3 linked regions of the Drosophila melanogaster genome follow. The protein of the gene in region 3 interacts with the protein of the main gene of each other region in a pairwise test. Each region holds a gene or a part of one and is shown on either strand. Other genes may lie near its edges.

Region 1 (8,221 bases), on a different chromosome or scaffold from region 3:
CCACGAATATATTGTTTCCTTCCAATAAAAGTTATGAGGTGCAGTTAGGAATCGTAAGCTTTGGGGATCCAGAATGCCGTGGAGTAGGAGTCTATACCGACGTGACCAGCTATGTGGATTGGATCTCATCGACAATAGCTAGAAATGACTACCTACCAATCGGCGTGTCCGGGGGAGACATTGCCATGGGCAATCCCATTGCTCCTGACGCTAATCGGCACTGGACTCCTGCGGCTTCACCACCACTTCCTTCGATGTTGTACAATAGCTGCAGTCAGGATATCGCGGCACCGATCGCGCAGCTAAGAATTTATTGGCCTGGTTCTTATGCCGTTGGCGTATTAATAACAGATCGTAAGTATACTCTTTCACTCGAGAATTCCACAATTAAATGAGTATAAATTTAACAAGATTGAGTTTCTTTTCTTAGAATTGATCATCGCTGCTGCCACAGACCTGCCCACAGTTGCCGCCTATTTGTAAGTTGTTCGAAGGATTATCCCTTGTGCATTAACTGCTATTTTTCACATTAGTTACTAGTTTATTTTGATACCATTTTAAATTAATTATTCAGATACGTGTTCGTAGTGCTCGAAGGAATAAGCGCAATCAACCAAATTGAATCGGTTTCAAAGCACCCAAATTTTACTACGAATGATTACCGAAATGACATAGCAGTACTCAAACTTGTTCGATCAATAAGCAGCACAGGTAGAACATACCTACTATCATAGCAATTGCCTCGATTTACAGTTATATTCTTTTACAGCAATGAAACCCATCTGCATTTTGACAACGCAAATATACCAGCAAAACGCCGAAAAGGCTCGAGAATTGAAAATAATTGATACAGATTTAGCTGAACAATTCGACGTCAGGCTAATGGAAGGGAGCCAATGCGCGAAACATCTCGGATTTCAAATCAACGAAAATCAAGTGTGCATGGTAGATCCATCCGACACAAGTAATCCCCGCCAGAAACGTAGCTACATAGTGGTTGGAGGGATGAATGCCAATGGCCAGATACGCTACATTTTGGTGGGCATTTTCAGTTTTTCATCGAAAAACATACTCGTTTTTACGAATGTTATGAGGCACACGGATTGGATTCTTTCCTTGCTATATTCGTTAAATACGTCATCTTAAAATATTTAAATGCCTTAAAAATGTAAAAGCACGTGTAAATACCAATTACTGACATACGAGTGATTGGTACATGTTTTAATAATAAAGTAACATACGCTAACGAATAAGAAATTGTCTTTGAGAAATCTAAAATATTTAATCATTTTTCGAAGTAATCATGCGCGTTCTGTACTACGAGTAGTGTTATCTTGGAGTCTGGCACCAGGAGCACCTCGTTGGTTCTTGTGCGTATTCTCAGCATTAGTAGTTCGTCCGTGGGATCTATTTTACTCATACCGCGTTCCAGTCTTCCTCGAATAGCCTGAAAAGGTCCCGAAAATTGGACAGCATCCTCTCGGTCCATCGTACTCATCACCGGATGTCCCGACTCGTTGAGGATCACTACATCTCGAACATGTTTTTTCGATTTGACCAGGTCGAATGCTTTTTCCACATATCGTAGAGTTCGAGGTGGCTATTTAATGATGTAACCTATAAATAAATATAATTACATTCAATATGGAAATATTTTACCTTTTGTGGAAGATCCGGAAACATATTTCTCGTCTGCTTTGAAACACCTTGAACTTCGTAGTAACGGTTTCGTGAATTTTTAACCTAATTTTTTTTGTTTTCTTGGTTTCCAAGGTGCGTGTTGCTATATGGGTCAATATGCCAGATTAAACAATTCTGTGTAGTTGTTATTAATGTATTGTTAGTAAATAATAAACTTATTAAATTATTCAATCACAAATATTTTGATAATTACCGTTGCAAATTTTTTTCTCATTGAAAACTTCATATCGATATTTTCTGTTAACTTATGTGGAAATCTGTTAAATTAACAATGAACAATGTGCCATCACTGACAGTGCATCTCTAATATTGAACAAACAAAGTTTACTATTTCATTGAACTGCAGGTAGCGGTAGTGTCTGCCGTGTTTCCAACAAAATTATAAGAAAAAATGGTAAGTAAGAGTTGTGCATACACAAAAACATTAAGAAAATAACGTTACCTTCATGGCTTACAGTCGCAGGAGGTTGAGGAAACACTCAAGAGAATCCAGAGCCACAAAGGTGTTGTGGGTACAATTGTGGTCAACAATGAAGGTGGGTGGTTCAACTGCACCCCAGTGTGTGCTAAGATATCTAACTAATTCTCAACGCCTCCCAAATAGGTATTCCGGTCAAATCCACGCTGGACAACACTACCACCGTTCAGTACGCTGGCCTAATGAGTCAGCTGGCGGACAAGGCACGAAGTGTGGTGAGGGACTTGGATCCTTCCAACGACATGACATTCCTGCGGGTGCGATCCAAGAAGCACGAGATCATGGTGGCACCCGACAAGGACTTCATCCTGATTGTCATCCAAAACCCAACCGACTAAATGGCATGGTGCATCGCGACTATTGCTGAATTATCTGCACATTTATATCTGTATTCTAATCATCAGCGTATAAATGGAAAGTTAAATTATAATGTAATGAAATTGTACTCCATACAATAAATATATTTATGCATAAAATGACATCACGTAAACATTTTGGGCTCTGTAAACTTCAGGTGTTTTCAGCTGTTAGTCCGCTATAACTATTGATAGGGGCATTCATTCTTTATTTTCAAAAACTGAAATATGCGTTCTCTAATTGAAACAAATGACTCCAAAAGATAAATTTATTTTAACGCTAATTCTAACACGAACAATTAATTATTATAATATTATTATAATTATTGAAGTTGTTTGATGTTTGGGTAGTTGGTTTAAGCATCCGCTTCACCGACGTATTTATCGAATACTTTCGAAGCGAGAGATATGTATTCTCTTGTTACCTTTGAAATTGTTTCCGTTGCTATTAGGTGAACATTTATGTTATGTTGGCAATTAAAGACTACCACGGCTTGTACATAATTGGAAAGATTACAATAATTACAACGGTGTGGTAATTATATCCTTTAAAAACCATATGCAGGGACAGAAGGTATCGAATATGTATAAAATAACTTCGATAGTAGCAAAGTCCCAGACTATCGATGTTTGGCCATCGTCGTTGCACGCCACGGTCACACTGATGCAAAGTCGAGGAAGACGGATTCGTGTGTCGGTGAAAACCCGTGAGTTTTGCGTACTTGCATTTAAAGAAAACCCCTCAACGGAATAGTCAATAAATTGATTGGAGAGCCCAATCAGCCACCGTTTCGACCCAGTGTACGCGTGTGCAGCGAGTTAAGAGATCCACCGATCGATCAAATCGTATTGAAAAAAGGTAATTCGAAAGATGGGCGTGCAGCGAAAAGCGAACGAGTAAAGAAAATGGCGTAATCACGCACTTCGAAACCCAAAAGGCAGCCAGCAAACGCAACGCAAACGGAATCCAAATCCACGAACCCTCAATCGGCCAGTCAGCATTACTTTGGGTGAAAAAACGAGCTATATGAACGTGAAAAAAGTGAATAAAAAACGTAAAAAAAATGTGCTGCAGCCATATTTGTTCCGTGAAAATGAAAACGATACACACACACACACGGGCAAAGTCGAGTGTATATAGTCGTCGGTGCATATATATCTGTCTATACATATGTGCTAAGAATTAACTAAATAAAATGAAGCACTTCGTATCGGATCGTCATCGCACCGTTTCGTTGTTCGCAATTTCATTTCATTTCCAACGCGATTCTCGTTCAACGTACGTTGGTACATAGCCTGCCGTACATACATACGTACTTATGTATGTACACATGTACTTTCAATATCGACGATGGCATCACAAAAACACGACGCGCACACAGACACGCACGCACGTACCGTACAAACAAACAGACGTGCGGACACAGAGCAGGGTCTGTATGTACGTACGTGTGTTTATATATGGGACTGGTTGTTGTTGTACATAACGGAGAGTTGAACACATAAGGGCTGGCTGGCTCAATATAGAAAGAAGCATGTGGCTGCGCTGTCAGCGTCGCTGCCTGCAGCGCGTAAGGGATTTTATTACGTCGGACGTTTCGGTCGTCGGTCGCTGGGTTCGTTTTATATTTTTGGATATTTTACACATGTCCATATGCCCGTCTATTCCCCTGCATCATCTGCATCCTCTCCCACATGCATCTCTCGTTCGCTCTCTTTTCGCGTGCGTTTATGAATGTGTGTGTGTGTGTGTGTGTGCGTGCGTGACTCCTTGAATGCAACGTAACGGGAAACGGGCGACTGCAGTCATCAAACGGGTGTAAGGGAGACGGTCGTAGCCCCCCGCAACGCATGGCTCCGCACTTGCGTTCATAAACACAGTGATCACCCACGAAAACGACCTCGTCGAACAGGACTCAAAAGTGCCAAGTGAAAATCATTACGAATTACGGAAAATATACCGAGTGAATCACCTTAACAGCGAAACTGCGTCCCAAACATGAACCAGTGCACTGAAGAAAAATATTGCTTATTACTATTAGTTTTATGATTAAGTGCTATATACGGTTGAATACTATACATTCTTATTGCATACTACGCTCTTTATAAAAAATATGTCAAAGCAAAGCTATTGAAAATCTTATATTGGTAGAAGTTGTTGAACTTTGCTGTGCTTGTTTTTTCATATTAATACTGTCATTGTGCATAAAATTCCGATATAAACCCTGTAGAACAAAGTAGATAACTATATAAAGGGCTAGGCTTTTCAATGTTTTCCCGCTTTGGAGGCCCTGTAATTTCCAACAGGTTCAATCCAAGTTAGGAACAGAATTTTTATTGTTTCGAAGATTTTCAACTGTCGATTTTGTATTTTACCACGTTTCGTGTTATCCACTCCCAATTGATATAATCATTAATTTGATGTGATTTTCTCTGAGTGCATATAAACAGTTGCCTGAACATGACTCAATTCCTTAAAATTTCATTAGTCAGCCGACTTAAAAGATCTCGTACCGAGTTCAGAGACTTATCAAGGGCGTATGATTAGATTGTACAAAAAAAAAAAAAACAGATACTTTTAGGCCTGCCAGCATTCCAAGGGCTTTGAAACACTGGCGACCAGCATCGTTTCGAGCTTGAATCTATAGTTTCCCCACCAAGTACAACCAGTTTTTTTTTCGTTTTGTTTCCCATTTTTTTTTTCTTCGGATTTTTTTTTTTTCTTCGGATTTTTTGGCCGAACACAAGGCCAAAGTTCACACAACACTAAACAAAGGTTCTCGAACCATTCGTTGTTGTATGAACAATGTGCCGTATCTTATCATGTGCGTTGGGAATTCGCAGAGCAGCAGCAGCACAGAACTATCAATCAGCCCGGCGCTTATTATCTATCTCTACAGCTTTTAAACTCACAACTTCCCTCTAATTGCGCAAAAGAATGCCGAGTGCGCAATCAGCTTGGAAAATGAGTGGAAAATGCTGTGCAAACGATCAAAGCCTGCAGCTGTTCTACGCAAATCGTAGAAAGTCGTATCCACATAATGATAATTAGAAAACTTGGCAAAACAGTTGATCAAACAATCTGATTGGTTTGGTCTTAAGTTTCAAATGGCTGCTACGTTTGACGCACACATACGGTTGTAATATATACTATGTAAAGATTAAAATAATGTTGATAGGTGAAAAAATCGTCAAGCTTATTTATTGACGGTCTCGATTGTAATTCTCGTCTATAAACTGAACACTTTGGCACGTTTTCACTTCTTCCTATGCAGATAAATGTACTGCAGGCAAGTTCTTGAAATCAGCTGCCCATTTTCTCATCAGCTGTTTCTTACTGAAGAATTCGCGTTTTGGGTGTGACAATGCAGTACTGTAGGATCGATTTTAAAGGCTAAGTTAAGCAACCATTTCTTGGGCGGATTCCTGCCATATTGGCTGCTTATTGGTAGGCCATCCCCCAGCATCTTGGCAAAAGCTGTTCGTTCTGACAGCAGCGCGTCGAAGGTCTCCTCCCGTTGAACTTTCGACCCGCTGACCAGGCCCCGGTGAAACTTTTGCCCCAGCTAGTCAGCAGTCAGCAGTTTCGAGGCACACAGCTGCAGCAGTTTCGATCGGAAAGCGACCGAGTTTGCTGCAGCAGCTACACAAAAGTACACAGTAGTCCTTCGGTTGACACAGCCACCCCGCACACATACAGACACACACACACACACACAGACACAACAGATATAGATATATGTATATGTATGCAGGCAGCAGCTTTCTTCCCTTAGGCGAATCGAAAACTCGATTTTCATCCCCGTGGCGAACAGAATTTAGTTTTAATTTCATTACAGACTACAGGCGAAGGGAAACAGTGGAAAACATGCGTATTAAAGTCGCTGTTTGCTCGGAGTAGGGAAAAATCTATTCCCTGGGAGTGAAATTTATATGCGCGATTAGATATAGGTGTGTTACATGGTGGGATTTCTGGACAGTGCCGGGAGTGTGCGGGGATTATGAATGGGGCATGTGCTGCGTGCGCGTGTCGGCATAGGAATCGTCATAGCCAGAGTCAGATGATAACACGGCAAATACATACAAGTACCCCAAGTTATACCATAAAGCTAATAATATAGTATGGGATGTGAAGTCGCAGCCTTATCGCTCTGCTGGTTCGAACAAAACCAAAACATAAATAGCGTCGAACCGAATTCTTAATACCCTGACACTGTTGTCTTTTCTAAATATGTTAAAATACCTAAAAAAAAAAATTGTAACATTTACATCAAGACTCTTGATACTCGTGAGTATGAAGAGAGAAGAAAGGATTCCGAATTTCCTTCATTAATGATGTAAAATCTAGTATACTCTGCGAGGGTACACAGCAAAATAACTAACACCAATACCAGTGGGAAACCTATTTTTGGATTGCCAATCGCTAAACAATTCTCTCTGCAGGATTTGCAACACCTGCTCTCTGTTTTCGGCATCTTTATCTCGCTTCTCCTTTTCAGCCGCTGCACTTTTGACCCTTCAACCACTTGTTTTCGCTCGAAAAGGAGCACACAAAAGAATGTTCTATATAGGTACCGGAAAAGACCTGCTGGCAAAAACCGAAAATTGCAAATTCTGAAGCTGAAGCAGAAGCAGAAGATTTCCAAAAAATGCCGAAAACAAAACTGCACATGTGTGTGTGCTCCCATTTTGGTTTCTTTTTTTTTTTTTAGTTTGTACTAAAGGCGGTTAGGGGTAAAAGAAAAAGGGACCTGAAATCCGAGCTCAACGAACATCTGTTCCAAAATATACTGTGTGTGTGCTGGTTGTTGATTTCACCAGGCGAAGAAAATATTGAATACATGAGTGCATTGTATATATCGCTTGAAAGATATATACAACTGGCACAAACACAGTCACATATCTACATACTTACATGCATACAATGCAAAGTGTGAAACAAGACTCTTTTTCACATACCTGCTTTTTATTTTATTCCAGGTAAATCGACGTCGACAACTGCGGAATACCTAAGAGCCAAAGCAGCGAAAGAATAAAGAAACAAGGAAACATTTGCACGCCAGCGGAGCAACTGCACCAGAGCACCACCAGCGACAAGAAAAACCACTTCAACAAAAGAGGATAACATACTGGAAGTGCTCCACTCGCATCGCACACACACACACACACACACACACACACACACACAAACAAACAAACACTCCTGCCCAGCAACATACACACACACATTCATACTGTACGTGCACGACGGTGGGAAAGTAAACCGACATCTTTTTACGACCGCCGAGAGTTTTGCAATCAGAAGAAGTCGGAGAGCCAAGCCGAGTCGATCGGTCAGCCCTTTGATAAGCCAGAGAGAGGGAGAGAGAAGGGAGCAGCTCAGCTCAGCGCAGCGCACAGAAACGGAGAATAAGAGAGGAACAGGTTGCCAAGTCGAACGCGCAACGAATTTGGAAATCGAGACAGCCGAAAGTGCGTGAGCGTGATCGTTTGTACGTAGCCCCCAAAAAAGTTGAAACAAACAAAAAAAAATTCAGATACCCGCAGACCCGGACTTGCATTTAGGCCAGACCAGCTTAAAGGGTTTCCAACCCAAGCCCATGAGCAGCTGAGCCAGCGGCAGCAGCTAAAACGGAAACCAGACTTATACCTTGAACACATCCGATCCCGTGCACATTCAAATGAA
Region 2 (7,184 bases), on a different chromosome or scaffold from region 3:
AGCTATCGATATCACCGATAGTGTCATCTCTGTCCTAGAAGTTAAACCACAGATGCTCAGGCATTAAACAAAATTAATTTCGAAATTTGTTGCAGTAAATATAGTTTAATTGTTTAAAATTCCTGTATAAATCCTTAAGAGGGGTGCCTAAAGATGTTTACGCCCACCACGAACAACGCCATTGGAGGCGCCACTGCTGCTACCGGCGCTTTTGCTTTTGGCGCGCGACCGGCGACGACGACTGCTCCGCCTCCATCCTTTGGAGCAGCCACCTCTACGCCAACCTTCGGTGCTGCTCCGGCCACCACCTCCTTGTTTGCAGCTCCCGCGGCCACACCGGCCTTTGGGGCACCAGCTGCTACGCCGGCTTTTGGAGCACCTGCGTCCACGCCTGGTTTTGGCGCCACTTCCACTGCGGCGCCGGCTTTTGGAACGGCTGCTGCCACGCCCGCTTTTGGCATACCAGCAGCAACGTCGGCTTTTGGAGCTCCAGCTGCTACGCCCGCTTTTGGAGCTGCAGCTGCCACTCCCGCTTTCGGAGCACCCGCCGCCACGCCCGCTTTTGGAGCACCCGCCGCTACATCCGCCTTTGGAGCACCAGCAGCCACAACGGCGTTTGGAGCGCCAGCTTCCACGCAAGCATCGGCCTTCGGAGCACCTGCACCAGCCGTGGGCACTGTGGCTCCCACTTTCTCCTTTGCCACCCCGGCCACAAGTGCGCCGACCACCGCGCCGCCGGCCTTTGGATTCGGCACCACCGCCACAACGGCGGCAGCTGCGATGCCAGCATCCCTCAGCTCCGGAATTGGATCGTTTTCCTTCCCCAAGCCACAGGCCACCACGGCGGCCAGCTTGAACTTTAACACAACCACGACGACGGCGACGGCACAACCCTTCAACACGGGTCTGAAACTGGGAACCACCAATGCGACGACAACCCTAGGAGGAGGAGGAATCTTTAGCAAGCCAGCGGGTCAGGCAGCTGCCCCGGCAGCATCGACTTTCGTGGGTCTGGGGGGGATCGATGTGACCGCCACGCAACCAAAGCTGGGGGACAATAAGCAAGATGGCATCAAGGTGCTGACCATGAGTCTTTCACAGAGAAACAAAATAATCATTTTATTTTCGACCACTCCAGATTAAGGAAACCCAAGTGCCCGACGAGATAATAAAAACGGTGGATGGCCTAAAAGCGTATATCAAACAGCAGAAGACCATCTCCTCTGACATTGGACGGACATCCACCTCCAAATTCACGAATGTCAGCCACGAGATCACGAACTTGAAATGGGCGCTGCAGAATATGGCCACTTTAGTTGAGGGCAGCAATCAGCAGATCCGCCTGATGCGCCAAGAGACCGTCAAGGCGATTCAATCTCTGGAGATGGCCCAACGCACGCAGGACACCCCAGCCGGCCTGCAGTTCGAGAACAATGCTCCGTTCCAGTACTTTCAGTGCCTGGTGGCGAAGTACGAGCAGGATTTGATCGCCTTTCGCCAGCAGATCGCTCTGACCGAGCGCCACATGCACGCGATCTCGAATCCGCAGAGTATTTCGCCGGATGATCTAAAGCGTGGCTTTCGCCAACTTAATGAGAGTTTCATCTCGCTGGCGGGACGCCTCCACGAGGTGCATCAGCGGGTGGAGGAGCACAAGGAGCACTACCTAAACCTCAGACGCTACCGCCTGCGAGACACCACCAACGTTTTCGAGCGGATTGACAATCCTCCGCTGCCGACGGTGGAACCTCAACGGATTAGTAGCGGTCCAACGCCCTTCTCCAACATCTCGGCTCTGATGAACAAGTCCTATGCAGCGGCGGCCAGTTCCGCCAGCAATGCGACAGGCAATTGAGAATGGCACTCTTTACAAGTTTCAATAAATCGTTATGTCGAAAGGGGCCTAGACTTTCACTTTCAGTTATAGCATAGAATATATATTTCACACGCAACAATCTTTATTTCTTCACCACCTGGATGACGTCCTCGTCGGCCATCACATGGGCAATCCCCACGCGCTGCGGCGAGTATTTCGTGGAGGTGCCCCACACCAGGGCATACTTGAACTGCGCCGCCAGCGTGCGATGGATGGCATGGCACACATGCTCCACACTGACGCCCTAAACAAGGAATATATAAGGAATTAGAGTTGCTTTACCAGGCTGAAGAAGGAATTGGATGAATGGAAAACAGTCTCTTGCCTTTCTCAGAATCAATCCATCGTCAAAGTCTGGAGGAGCGCCTGGCTTCTTTGTGTACACTCTGATGAGCTGGAGAGCTTCCCAGAGCGCCTCCATCATGTAGTCCAGATTAAGTTTCATGTTGCAACTAACCACTATCGAGTTTGGCTGGCGCGCCAAGCGGTCCACCTCCTCGATGGAGATCTGATCGATCTTGTTGTAGACATACAGACAGGGCAGATACACACGGTTGGCGGTGACCACGTCGATGAACTCGTCCTCGGTGCAGTCTTCGCGGAAGAGCACCTCGGCGTTGAAGATCTTGAAGGAGTGCAGGATGGTCTGGACCATTTTCTCGTTGCAGCGCGTAAGGGAACAGGTGGCGTTGAAGCTCAGGCCGCCGCCCTTCTTCTGCTTGAAGTAGATGTTGGGCTTGCGCTTGTTCAGACGAATGCCCACGCTCTCCAGCTCTCGCTCGAGCAGCTCCCGGTGAACGTTGGGCTTGGTGGCGTCCAGCATCATCAGCACCAAATCAGCGGTGCGGGCTACGGCAATGACCTGACGACCACGCCCCTTGCCCTGGGCAGCGCCCTCGATGATTCCGGGCAGATCCAGCAACTGGATATTGGCACCCTGATACTCAATGACACCCGGAATGCAGGTCAAAGTGGTGAACTCATAGTTTGCTGTCGAAATGAAACAGTGAGACGCTTTTGGGCGGTGTGTGGCATGCACTTACCCGCCTCCGATTCCGTTTTGGTCAAAGTGGACAACATTGTGGACTTCCCCACGGAGGGAAAGCCAATGAGGGCCACCCGGGCGTCGCCGCTCTTGAGCACATCAAATCCGTCGCCCTTTTCGCCCTTCTTGGATGGCTCCAGCAGCTGGGAGCGATACTTGGCCAACTTGGCCTTCAGCAGGCCCAGATGGTATTCGGTGGCTATGGGAGGGGGATGAAAAACATGCAGATTTAGCAAACTTCCAGCTACAGAATCCTAACCTAAATTCCGATGGCCAGCGCGGCACTATTCGCAAACCTTTGTTCTTCTGCGTCCGCGCGATCTCTCGCTCGATCTCCGCGATCTTCTCTAGGATGCCCATGCTGTTGGCTCTCTTAGTTCGGGGCAGAGCATGCAAAAGTTCAAATTAAACAAATGTTCGCTTTTATTTATTGACCAGCGGTGCGTCGCCCGGAATTTCGATCAGCTGTTTTTGGCAGTCAAGGTAGTGGGGCGGCTGTGGAACAACTGCAACGCCGTGAAGTTATCTTAACAGTGCTTCTCCTATTATTTTAGTTAAAGCAGTTTGTTGTCTAAAGCTAAAAAAATCATAAATTAAGGAATATATTTAACCAAAAATCTTTGCCAGCGGAGTTATTTTATCAAGCTTAACGTGTAGTCTATAGGATTATCTATGGTATTTCGTAAATAAATATCTCGCTGTTTTATTTCCGATATTCCGATTTATAAGCCACGTAAAGTAAGCCGTTAAGCTTATCAGGTGTTGAAATTACTGCACTCGCATGACAATACTAACAATCGATTACCTCGACTTTCAGATTCCCGTTACTCACACTCGCAGGCAGCAAAGCGAACGTTTTCTAAAGTGCACACAGGCTCCACCTAGCGAAGCTTGACAGCCGACAACTGATGTGTGCACGCAAGCGGACGGAGGGCAATCTTTGCCGTCGCCATAAAAGTGGCTGCAGTGCAAACCAATGTATGGCCGTTACGCATCTCGTTGTTCTAGTGTCTTTCATAAAACCCATATAATATTGTAGATCCACTTTATATTTGGTTTATCGGCTTGGAATACGTAATTGAATTTAAATGATATCGCCATTAAATCATTTCAATAACGTCATAAGTCAGACATTAATAAATATCGCATAAATTTCCTCATAAAGTCAAAACTCTCGACTATCTCTACATTTTTGTAATTGACTCACGCGCAATTGCTACAGTTACTGAATGCACTTAAAAGCAGTTGCTTTTTAAAAACAGTTGCTTTTTGAAAACAGTTCCTTGTTGAAAACAGTTGCTTTTCAAAGTCTGAGAAACAATGTTCCTCGTACAGGAAACTGGTTCTTTAATGGTGATCCTCATTTGTTGTCTGATGGCTCATTTAGCTTATGCTTGTAGATCGGGTAAGAACATTAAAGAGCTTGGAAATTGTGTTATAAGTTGACTAGTGAGTTGTGAAGGAAGATTAAAACAATTTATGAACACACTATGAACACTCTCTACTTTTCAATAGATAAACTGTGTGAACCGGATGAGGAGTGCATCCGACTTAAGGATTGCCGACCCATATATTACAATGTGAGGAGAAACAGATTGTCGGGGTCCGCAAAAGTGAATATATCGCAGACAAGAATGTGTGGCGTGAGTGTTCGAGACCGGAAACGTTACAAAAGGATTTATATCTGCTGTCCCAAGCCGGCAAACACCTTGCCAAGCTATCCGGATTGTGGGAAGCCACAAACGACTAACCGTGTTATAGGCGGCACGGAGCCGAATCTCAACGAATATCCGTGGCTGGCCATGCTTCTATATCGAAATCGTAGTGCCTTCAACCCGGATCGGGAGCTAGTCCCCAGTTGTGGTGGCTCCCTGATTAACACTCGCTATGTCCTGACCGCAGCCCACTGTGTAACCGATACGGTCTTGCAAATCCAACGCGTCCGCCTGGGCGAGCACACAACGTCCCATAACCCGGACTGCATCAGCCGGGGCGCACGAATCGTTTGCGCTCCCACACATCTGGACATCGACGTGGAGTCGATCACATCGCATAATGACTACGATCCAGCCAATTACACCTTTCGGAACGACATCGCCCTGGTGCGACTCAAAGAGCCAGTGCGGTGAGTCAGCACGTCGCAAACGACCTATTACTATCTACTAACATGTTTGTCTGTATCCATCAGATATACGATGGCTTACTATCCGATTTGCGTTCTGGACTACCCAAGGTCACTGATGAAATTCAAGATGTACGTGGCTGGATGGGGAAAAACGGGCATGTTCGACACTGGGAGCAAGGTGCTGAAACACGCTGCCGTCAAGGTAAGGAAACCAGAAGAGTGCTCGGAAAAGTACGCACACCGGCATTTCGGGCCCAGATTCCAGATATGCGCCGGCGGCTTGGATAACCGGGGCACCTGCGACGGCGACTCCGGCAGTCCATTGATGGGCACATCGGGTCGCAGCTACGAGACAATCACGTTCCTGGCCGGCATCACTTCATACGGAGGTCCTTGCGGCACGATTGGCTGGCCGAGTGTTTTCACACGAACGGCGAAGTTTTACAAATGGATACGGGCACACTTAAGGCCCTAGAAACTGTTGAACATACTAATATAATGTTGACCAAATATATATACACCAAAATATAAGATGAAAATTGCATTTTCCCTATAGTAGATACAACTGATATTCCAATTGAAAGATAGTAATGCATGCAGAAGCTATGGAGTTTACTGGTCCAATAGGATAGGATTTCTTATTTAAGTCTAGTTCGCTGGAGATTTATAAGAAGATCTGAGAAAGTAGCCCAGCGCACAGATTGAGTAATGCTGAATATGAATAAAAATGCAATTAGTACGATTGATAACCAATATGCATCTGGAAAGTTTCAGTCGAATTGATTTTTAAATACTTTCGTAGAATCTAACATCTGAACAAGCTGCATACATATACACTCTCGTATGTGTGACGTAATTTTCGGGAATTCCATTCGGATACGTTATCAAATAACTTTGGCAACATTCGAAATGCCATAACCACAAAAAGTTGAGGGGATAAGTTAGTTACAATTGAAATCTTTACGGCTCAACATGTTCATTTCATGCATTCCGTTCGCACTCGTAGTAGTATTCATTCAATTGGCCCATTCAACGAATTCTGGTAATTAGCGTGCGGAATAAAATTGAATACGACTGTGAATAGTATAACTGTTTGGTGTGAATCATAATCAGGAATTTATTTATTGTTTTTAAATATATTACAATAATAATATAAAAAAAAGGTTATCAAAGCGTTCAATCTATGATTAATCTGCGATTCTAGACTGCTATCCGGGTGAGAAGTACGTTTACCTGTATGAGTGCCCCCATGTATATACCGCTGGCAGGTCCAGGACTTTGATGAGGGAGTATGACATGGATGCCTGGTTGTTGTTCGGCCAGAGGATCTGCTGCCCTCCGCCTGGCAATAGGCTCCCAAGCACAGAGATTTGCGGCCAAAGTCTATCTACATACCGAATGGTGGGTGGTTCGGAGGCGCGTCCAAACGGATACCCCTGGATGGCCATGCTCCTGTACCTGAATACAACCACCTTGGAGATCTTACCCTTTTGCGCGGGCTCCTTGATCAACAACCGCTATGTCCTGACCTCAGCCCACTGTGTAAATGGAATTCCACGTGACTTGTCGCTGAAAAGCGTTCGTCTTGGCGAGCATGACATCACCTATGATCCAGCCTACAATCCGGACTGCAGGGACCAGGATAACCAATGTGCCCTTCCAAATCTGGAGATCAAATTGGAGAAGATCATAGTGCATGGGCTATTCAGTAGCATTAGCAATAGGAACATCGAATACGATATCGCCCTCTTACGACTCAAAATGCCAGTGCGGTGAGTAATGCTTTCACAGAAAATATCCGTTGATTTCCGTTGCCGAAAAGTTCTTGCAAATTCGTTCAGATTCATAATGCTCATAGATATTTTTTTGGTGTTTCTTTTCCAGCTATAGGACAGGAATCATGCCAATATGTATTCCAAAGCACGGCTTTTTCGCGAAATCCAAACTTGAAATAGCCGGATGGGGCAAAACAAATGAGGGCCAATTTAGCCAAGTACTGATGCACGGATTCATCCGGGAAAGGTCAATCGCAGTGTGCGCATTAAGGTTTCCGTATCTGGACCTCAACCAAAGCCTCCAAATCTGTGCCGGCGGCTACGATGGCGTCGATACCTGCCAAGGGGATTCCGGTGGACCGC
Region 3 (8,019 bases):
TTTTGGTAAACAACAGTCCGCGAGATATGCGAGTCTTTCGCAAAATGTCTCGATATATAATGCAGGTAAAAGTGGATTACTGAATTGCGTTCCCATAAATATTGGTGTAATTCATAGACTGATGTCCTGGACTCACAGTTTACCGTACTAGAAATGATGATTTTGGCGGCAAACTTGAAGTTGGGAAAAGAACTAAATTTAAAACAAAAGCTAGAAGTGGTAAGATTGATTTTAAATCATGCACTTTGTCGTGTATTTATCTTAACATTTGAGCAGATTGACGAAATTTTGGGAATGTTGCGCCTAAAAGACACCCTAAACACCATGGCTCAAAAGCTATCTGGGGGTGAGCGAAAGCGTTTATGCATTGCCCTTGAGCTGGTCAACAACCCACCTGTCATCTTTCTAGATGAACCTACAACGTGAGTATAAGATAAATATTGAAGTCGAAGAACTAATGTTACCACCAACTCAACAGTGGTTTAGACGATTTATCGAGTTCACAATGCATTGCCCTACTCAAAGTTTTGGCCGCCGGGGGGCGCACTGTGATCTGCTCCATCCATACGCCATCTGCCAAGATCTTCGAGATGCTCGATGCAGTCTACGTTCTAGCCGAAGGCCAGTGCGTCTACCAAGGAAAGGGGTCCAACATTGTACCTTTCTTGAAGAACTTTGGGCTTTGTTGTCCAATAACCTACAACCCGGCTGACTTCATTATCGAAGTTGCTTGCCTTGAGTATGGCGGGTCCTATCACGAGCCAATGGTAGAAGCCGTGGGCAACGGCAAAGTTGCGCGATGGAGTCCTCCAGCAGTGGAAGGTGAAACAACAACAACCAAAACCGACACCACATCGGGGGCATCGTCGTTTTACGAAAGGGATCAGTTTGACGAAGAGATTAGCCCAAAACTTTTGGAGGCCAAATGTAGCTGGTGGCTACAGTACAAGCTATTGCTTGTGCGTATGCTAATCCAAATGTGGAGAGATAAGGTGAGTGCACTTAGAAAACGACGTAGAAAGGCAATGTAATTTTATTTTTTCCGTAGTCGTACATCAAGCTTAAGTTCTACATGAACATCGTTCTTGCTTTACTGGTGGGTTCGCTCTACTTTGGTATGGGAACCTCGGCCTCTAAAGCGCTTTTTAACTTCGGTTTCATGTTCACCATTGTGATAGCATACCTCTACCTTCCTATGATGCCTGTGCTCTTATATTGTAAGTACTATATTTTAACCTCAAGCAGTAATTCTTAATAATAAATACCTACATTTAAGTTCCCACGGAAATCAATCTGTTAAAAAGGGAGTACAACAACCAGTGGTACCGTCTGAGCTCCTACTACGCAGCAATGGTTACCTCAAAGCTACCATCTATGTTTATTTTGGCCGTTATTTATCTATCCATTGTGTACTTAATGTCCAGCCAACCACTTGAATGGTTCCGCTTTGCCATGCTATTTACAATAGCTTTCGTAACGGCCCTAACTTCCGACAGTTTTGGCTTGTTGATCTCCAGTAGACTGAGCTTAGTGGTAAGCGATTTGGCGCACATTTATTTTTAATATATCCTGATTAGTTCACTTATACTTTAGAATGCAATGTTCATGGGGCCAGTTCTCGCCGTGCCGCTGATCCTGCTTTCCATTTACGGCATTGGGTATGGCGGAGGAACATACATATCCCCTCTTATGAGGTTTCTCATGCATCTTAGCTACCTTCGCCATAGTATGGAAGGCCTAGTCGCATCCTTGTACGACTACGGACGCGCCGACACAATTTGCGAAGACACGGAAATCTTTTGCTCATTTAAAAAGTCGAAAGTTTTGTTAGCCTTTTTAGGATTCGAAAACATGCACTATTTGTGGTCTCTATCTTGCTTGATGAGTTTTTATTTGCTGTTCACCGTAGCAGCATACTTTATGATTAGACTGCGACTGAAACACTCCGAGGTCAGCCCCATTTTTGCATATGTCATACAGCTGTTAACGAAATATTTTAACTTTACTTCGTACAATTACTAACATTAACAACATGGGCGGTTTGACCTCGGTGCTAGAAAAATTATTTTAAGCGGTATTTCAGGGGACAGTCTTAACCTCCCATATTATTTATGGGCTTCAATAATATTAATAAACTATCAAAGTGATATTGGATTCTGAATAAAAGTTTATGATCAAGAATACAAATATAATCAAGGGAACAATAAATTACTATAATTCGATCATATTGTTAACAAGGCAGAAGAAACACTACGAATAAATTATTAAGTACGCATAAAATTGTTTTCACCAAATATGTAAAAAATATTAGTGGGTTTACTTTTTTATGCGATGGCGTAAGTTTATATGTATATCATGGAAATATTAAATATAAACAAGAGAGAATACTATAGTCGAGTTCCCCGAATATCAGATACCCCTTACTCAGCTAGTGTAAATGCGGACGCGAAATTTCATAATTTTTCTGGGTGTGGCTGTTTTGGGCGGTTTTAGGGAGTTGCAAAAAGTTTTTTAGAAAATCGATCTATCGATTTTTACAAGACTAATCAAAAATGAAAAAATTTCAACACATTTTTTAAAATTGTGTAAAATTTTTGAGTGGGCGTGGTAACAAAGGTCAACAAATATCTGTCTCTAGAATCTGTGTGCTGAATCTCAACGTTCTAGCTTTTATAGTTCCTCGACGTTCAAACGGACATGTCTAGATCGACTCGGTTATTGATCCTGATCAAGAATATGTATACTTTATACAGTCGGAAACGTTTCCTTCTGCCTCTTACATACTTTTCAACGAATGTAGCACACCCTTTTACTCTACGAGTCACGGGTATAAAAATATATAGATGTAGATATGCTTCAAATTGCATAAGAGTTAGAATCAAGTCTTGCCCAAGATTAGAATTTAGGATTGAGTTAAAGATCTGCGCCGTTCGTTACCAAACTCTATCTGCCTTTAGACTAATTTTAAGTCAGAACGGCAAAGTATGACTTCGCCTGTTCCCTTGATTCACTTTAAAGTATTCAAATTATTTGGTAGCTCTATCAATTGTGATATGAGCCGTCACAATAAAAACCGACAAAGTTAATTATGGAAATTATTTGAACAACTGCCGTCGCTGTGGATTGGCGCACAGTTGTCTATTTAAGAGGCAAGGAAACTGGACTGCCGTGAATACAGTTGATCGATAGGAGCCAAAGCAGTATGTTTTACGCATTCATAGCACTTGTTTTGGCCATGCTCCACCTGTCATTCGCAGTACAGGTGCAAACGGAGCACACCATTGTGGAGGAATGGAGCTGGCAAGACCATCACAGCAACAGAGACTTGGGAAGCTATAACTACTACACAGCTCTAGATTATGATCAAAATTTCGACGGTGATGAGAATTCAAACGATAATGAATATGAAGAGGATGATGGCAGGGCTACTGCCGCCGGCTTGGACCGGGATGAGGATCCGTGCGAGCGCAGCTGTCCCCGGTACTACCGGCCTGTCTGCATTCTCCGCAATGGCCGCAATATGACATTTGCCACGCTCTGCGAGTTCCACAATCAAGTACGTTGTGCCAACGATCTAAGAAGACAAGGTCATGGCTATGTGGTCCCCATCTTTCAATACCAACATGATGGTGGCTGCTAAACAAAATGATTCATTTAGAGTGGTTTTGCTCAATCAAAGAGTCACATTCATGACCAAAAAACTCGAAATAGCATTTCAAAACATAAAGCTCAAAATTCTTCATTCCCTCCCTGGATAATGAAGATTCGAAAAGCGATGAGGACACAAATATGGATGAATTTGAATGGGATGATTCTCCTACCAGCTTGGACCAGTGTGACAGTAAAGGCTCTCTTATAGGACATCAGCTTGACAACAGATATAACAACTATCAAGGAAAATTGTATTACCTACATAAATAAGATTGTACGGCTCCAAATGTAATTCAAACAAAATAAAATGTGTCCGAGATACAATTCCTTTTAACGTATGTATGTTCGTTTTCATGTTTACATGTCATTATTGTACATATGTATACAGTTCTAATGTTATTATAACTGTATACTGAAACTGTACTTGCGCGACTTAAAACCTACATGTGTATGTCATTTATGTACATACATATACAGTTTGTATGTTATCTTAACTGTATCCTGAATCTGACGGTAACCAAAACGCATGCTTAAAAATGATATGAAGATCGTAACCTTTTGCAATCAAAATTTTAAACACCAATTTTTGCGACTTTGATTGGTACATATGTACATATGTACGTATATAAATATGTAGCTCGCAAGCTCACATTCACACAAACATATGCATATAAATATATTTAAAGAAACAAACAATTTCAATCATTTACCTTTTAACGAATGCAGCATTCCGCGCTGTTGGTACAGCTTATAGGGCGTCATACTAAATGCAATCATGGGAATTAATTTAAACAACGGAATCTTTACCAGCCTCTCTTGCCTGCGATCGCGTACAAATCTTCGACATGCAGATCAATTGCGTTGGTTAAATAGCGCACAGGAGTGACCTGTTGTTTTTGCAAGACCGCTGAGAATAACACTTGGGACACTAATAAAACTACTTCTACTATTAATTTCACTACACTAAGTCCGGCAGCTGGGAACTCCGTCAGATTTGTGAATTTACATTGCTTAGCTCTGCGCAAAAACCAATACGCAAACCGTTAAAGAATTAATCACAATGGCTGCGCGAATAACTGTTGATTGTGACATATCGATATATCGATTGCATTCCCTGGATCTTGGCGTCTGGATAAGACTGTTAAATTCAAATTTTGAATTACTAAAATCTTTACACATTTCTATAAATTACCGAATTTCAGAAAAATAAATATTAATATTGTTGCAAATATCCCATATAGTAGGCGAAACAATACAATAACTAAAAATAAACTGTCATGAAATTTATTGCAATATTCATATGAAAAATGATTTCTTTTAAAGAAAATTGGGTTTCTTGTACACAAATATTTGTAATTTTTTATGGGCGCTGTCTCATTATGTTTTTGTGAAAAACCAGGGTTATGATGACTTTATTTGGTTGTAAAGACATTGCAAATTCTGTTGTTTGTACGATTAAAGTCTTCATTCTGCGCATACCGGTAAAATTATACTTTTCATATTTATCTTTAATATATTTTTGTAAAGGAAAATACATTATCTTATGGTTGGTTACAGAAAATACAAAGACAGAGTGTAATGTACATACAATCGAGTTGTTTAAAACTTTAGGTTTAACATATACAACGCATACAACAAATAGAAATGTTAAAAGAGACAAAAATAAGTTTACAATGGGGACATGAGAATGTTGCATAATTTCTAGGCAACGGATTTAATTGTTTTATACAATTTCCATAGACACCAACATAATTAAGTTGCATGATAATTGAAGGAGGTACTAACTACTGCTTTAATTTTTACTGAACTGACCGACACTATACTATGTATATGCATAACTAAAGCTCATCAATTCTTTTGGAGCTCTCTATTAGGTATATATGCGGGTATTAAGACGACTAAAACTAGTTCCGTGTGAGAAGACTACACACATCAGAATGGTTTAAATTATATAGCGAAGAGCACAGCATAAGTTAGAGAAGAAAGCCCATAAGAGTTGGCAAGCCTATGCCGCCTTCTCCTCTGACTTTAGGCTTTAAAAACGACACTAAAAATTACGTTGGTGCTTGGGTATCTGTTAATTTTGACGCTGATGAATATAAGGATAGCTTCGACCTTTTAGCATATGGTGACTGCGGTTGCAACGCTTCAGCGTCTAGTCAGTTGTCAATCTCCAGAGGCTTGGCCTCCTCCCACGAGAAGCCCGCGCGACCGAAGTGTCCATAAGTGCTTGTTCGCTGGTATATCGGCTGGCGCAGGTTTAGGTCCCTTAAAACAAAAATATAGACAATTGTTATGAAATATTTTTTAGCATCTAGAGTTTGACACTTACTTGACAATCTTGCCGGGCCTGAGGTCAAAGTTTCGACGGATGATATCCAGAAGTTCTTTTTGTGACTTGTGAGAAGTTCCGTAGTCGAACACAGTTATGGAGAGAGGCTCAGCAAGACCTATGGCGTAGGACACTTGGACAAGGCAGCGCTTGCAGAGACCGGCCTTAACCAGTGATTTGGCCACCCAGCGTGCTGCATATGCAGCTGATCTGTCAACCTTGGTGAAGTCCTTGCCAGAGAATGCACCGCCGCCGTGGGCGCCCCAGCCTCCGTAAGTATCTACAATGATTTTTCTTCCTGTAAGCCCAGCGTCACCCATTGGTCCACCGATTACAAAAAGCCCACAAGGATTGATGTGGACAATGGTGTTGGCATCAATGTATTTGGCGGGAATGACTACTTTAACAACTTTCTCCATTACTTCCGAGCGCAGGGTTTCTAACGATATCTTTTCAGAATGCTGCATGGACACTACAATAGTGTGGACACGCTTGGGAACTGCTGATCCCTGATTGAAGAGGTACTCGCAGGTTACTTGTGTTTTGGAATCGGGGCGAGCCCACCAGAACACATCTGAGCGACGCAGCTCAGCAATCTTTTCGTTTAGTTTGTGAGCCAAAACGACGGTTAGGGGCATACATTCCTCGGTTTCGTCGGTGGCATATCCAAACATGATACCCTGCAAAAAGTTTATTTCGCTTCATTAATAATCTCTATCACTAATTAATTAATCATTAATTATTCACTTAAAAGTAACCAAAACCAAAAAGAATCAGTAGCGTTAGATAAATAAAACACATTTGGGTTAGGAAAGGGTAAATCAAGCATGGGTGATAGATTCGGGTATGAATTAATTGTTGCTACTTAGGAGTCAAAAAGTTGTTTACAAAATTATGTTAGTGATGTATATATATGCAGTAGTGTGCCTTAGTTTTGTGTCTGCTATTCTAATTATGGTATCGACTGAAAAGTCAAAAGTTAAATGATATGGATTTGGCAGCTTCAATTAACAAAAAAGACGATCATATGGTTGGTAGGTCGGTTGGAGCAATATTGCAGCGCTATTATGATATAGTGGCAAACAGATGAATTTAAAATTAAATAGCAATAAAGTCGTCATACACTACTTCAATTAGTTACGAAAATATATAAAGGAAACGATAAACAGAAATTATAGAAGTGGCGACAACACCCCTTCCAAAGAGCTTATAAACGCCCTACCACCATGAATATTTTAGTCGCAACTAAATTGCTATCAATAAAAATTAAAAAGATGCGTTGCTCTTCGGAAAGGGCCTTCGATCCCGGCCTGCCGAGACTGCTACTTCTTTACTGCTTCTAAATCACACCTGATCTCCGGCACCGATCTCTTCCTCGGCACGGTTGACATGCACTCCCGCAGCGATCTCAGGCGATTGTTGGTCCAATGCCAACAGCACATTGCACGTTTTGAAATCGAAACCTTTTGTGAATTTCGAAGCGCGATTGCGAAGTGCACAATATCGTTTAAAGTTTGGTATTGGATTGTATCGAGATTGGTTTAATATGAAACGAAAAGAAAGATAAAAGAGAGAAGCGCAGCAATGGTGCACATACACAGGAAAATGTCTGTAAGTAATGTTCATAATATGATTTTAAACACCCTATTATTTTAGATTATAATTATATATATAAAAACGGTTTACAAAAAAATGTATTTTCTACAATCTTCATAAGCACTCTCTTGGTGTTTTTTCTATATACCAAAGTCTGGGAAAACTTTAAGCCTTCTTCCATAGGTCAGACAAGCCGCATGCAAGACTTCTCTTGCTTCCATAAAACGGTAACTAGCGGAATTTTAATGATTACATAAATCTTTCAATGGATTTGGTTGAATGCAATTTATGTGGTTAGAGAACGCCCGCAGTGTAATCCAAATGTGTGATATGTTATGTATTTCAGTCGTTATATATTTGCTTGAGGTGAAATTGTTAAGTTGTCTTCGACCAAATGGTTCGTAGCTGTGGGAAACAAGTCAATTTGATTTTTTTTGGGG

What was found.
Region 1: the proteins of ND-15 (region 3) and CG14478 interact in a two-hybrid assay, tested with the Drosophila melanogaster proteins (one large-scale study listed by BioGRID).
Region 2: the proteins of ND-15 (region 3) and CG6195 interact in a two-hybrid assay, tested with the Drosophila melanogaster proteins (one large-scale study listed by BioGRID).

What each region holds. Positions count from the first base shown.
Region 1 is NT_033778.4:17,454,479-17,462,699, forward strand, and holds the start of CG14478 (uncharacterized protein), read left to right. Parts: upstream 1-3,184; 5' UTR 3,185-3,394; intron 3,395-4,337; exon of another isoform or gene 4,338-4,601; intron 4,602-6,119; exon of another isoform or gene 6,120-6,188; intron 6,189-7,515; 5' UTR 7,516-8,216; coding exon 8,217-8,221. Other genes in the region: CG10764 (uncharacterized protein), read left to right, coding at 1-354, 431-479, 575-711, 770-1,146; robls54B (roadblock similar 54B), read right to left, coding at 1,286-1,600, 1,660-1,683; robl (roadblock), read left to right, coding at 2,093-2,095, 2,159-2,237, 2,306-2,517.
Region 2 is NT_033777.3:19,645,012-19,652,195, forward strand, and holds CG6195 (uncharacterized protein), read right to left. Parts: upstream 3,400-7,184; 5' UTR 3,282-3,399; coding exon 3,218-3,281; intron 3,121-3,217; coding exon 2,920-3,120; intron 2,867-2,919; coding exon 2,202-2,866; intron 2,121-2,201; coding exon 1,959-2,120; 3' UTR 1,919-1,958; downstream 1-1,918. Other genes in the region: Nup58 (nucleoporin 58kD), read left to right, coding at 154-1,077, 1,139-1,855; CG31220 (uncharacterized protein), read left to right, coding at 3,830-3,899, 4,437-5,046, 5,110-5,521; CG31219 (uncharacterized protein), read left to right, coding at 6,019-6,088, 6,251-6,818, 6,931-7,184.
Region 3 is NT_033779.5:111,334-119,352, reverse strand, and holds the start of ND-15 (NADH dehydrogenase (ubiquinone) 15 kDa subunit), read right to left. Parts: upstream 4,628-8,019; 5' UTR 4,362-4,627; intron 3,989-4,361; exon of another isoform or gene 3,641-3,988; coding exon of another isoform or gene 3,236-3,640; exon of another isoform or gene 2,865-3,235; intron 2,384-2,864; exon of another isoform or gene 2,023-2,383; coding exon of another isoform or gene 1,594-2,022; intron 1,534-1,593; coding exon of another isoform or gene 1,277-1,533; intron 1,218-1,276; coding exon of another isoform or gene 1,049-1,217; intron 993-1,048; coding exon of another isoform or gene 479-992; intron 423-478; coding exon of another isoform or gene 277-422; intron 220-276; coding exon of another isoform or gene 118-219; exon of another isoform or gene 84-117; coding exon of another isoform or gene 1-83. Other genes in the region: CG4822 (uncharacterized protein), read left to right, coding at 1-65, 118-219, 277-422, 479-992, 1,049-1,217, 1,277-1,533, 1,594-2,022; CG13694 (uncharacterized protein), read left to right, coding at 3,236-3,640; Sam-S (S-adenosylmethionine synthetase), read right to left, coding at 5,811-5,919, 5,984-6,663.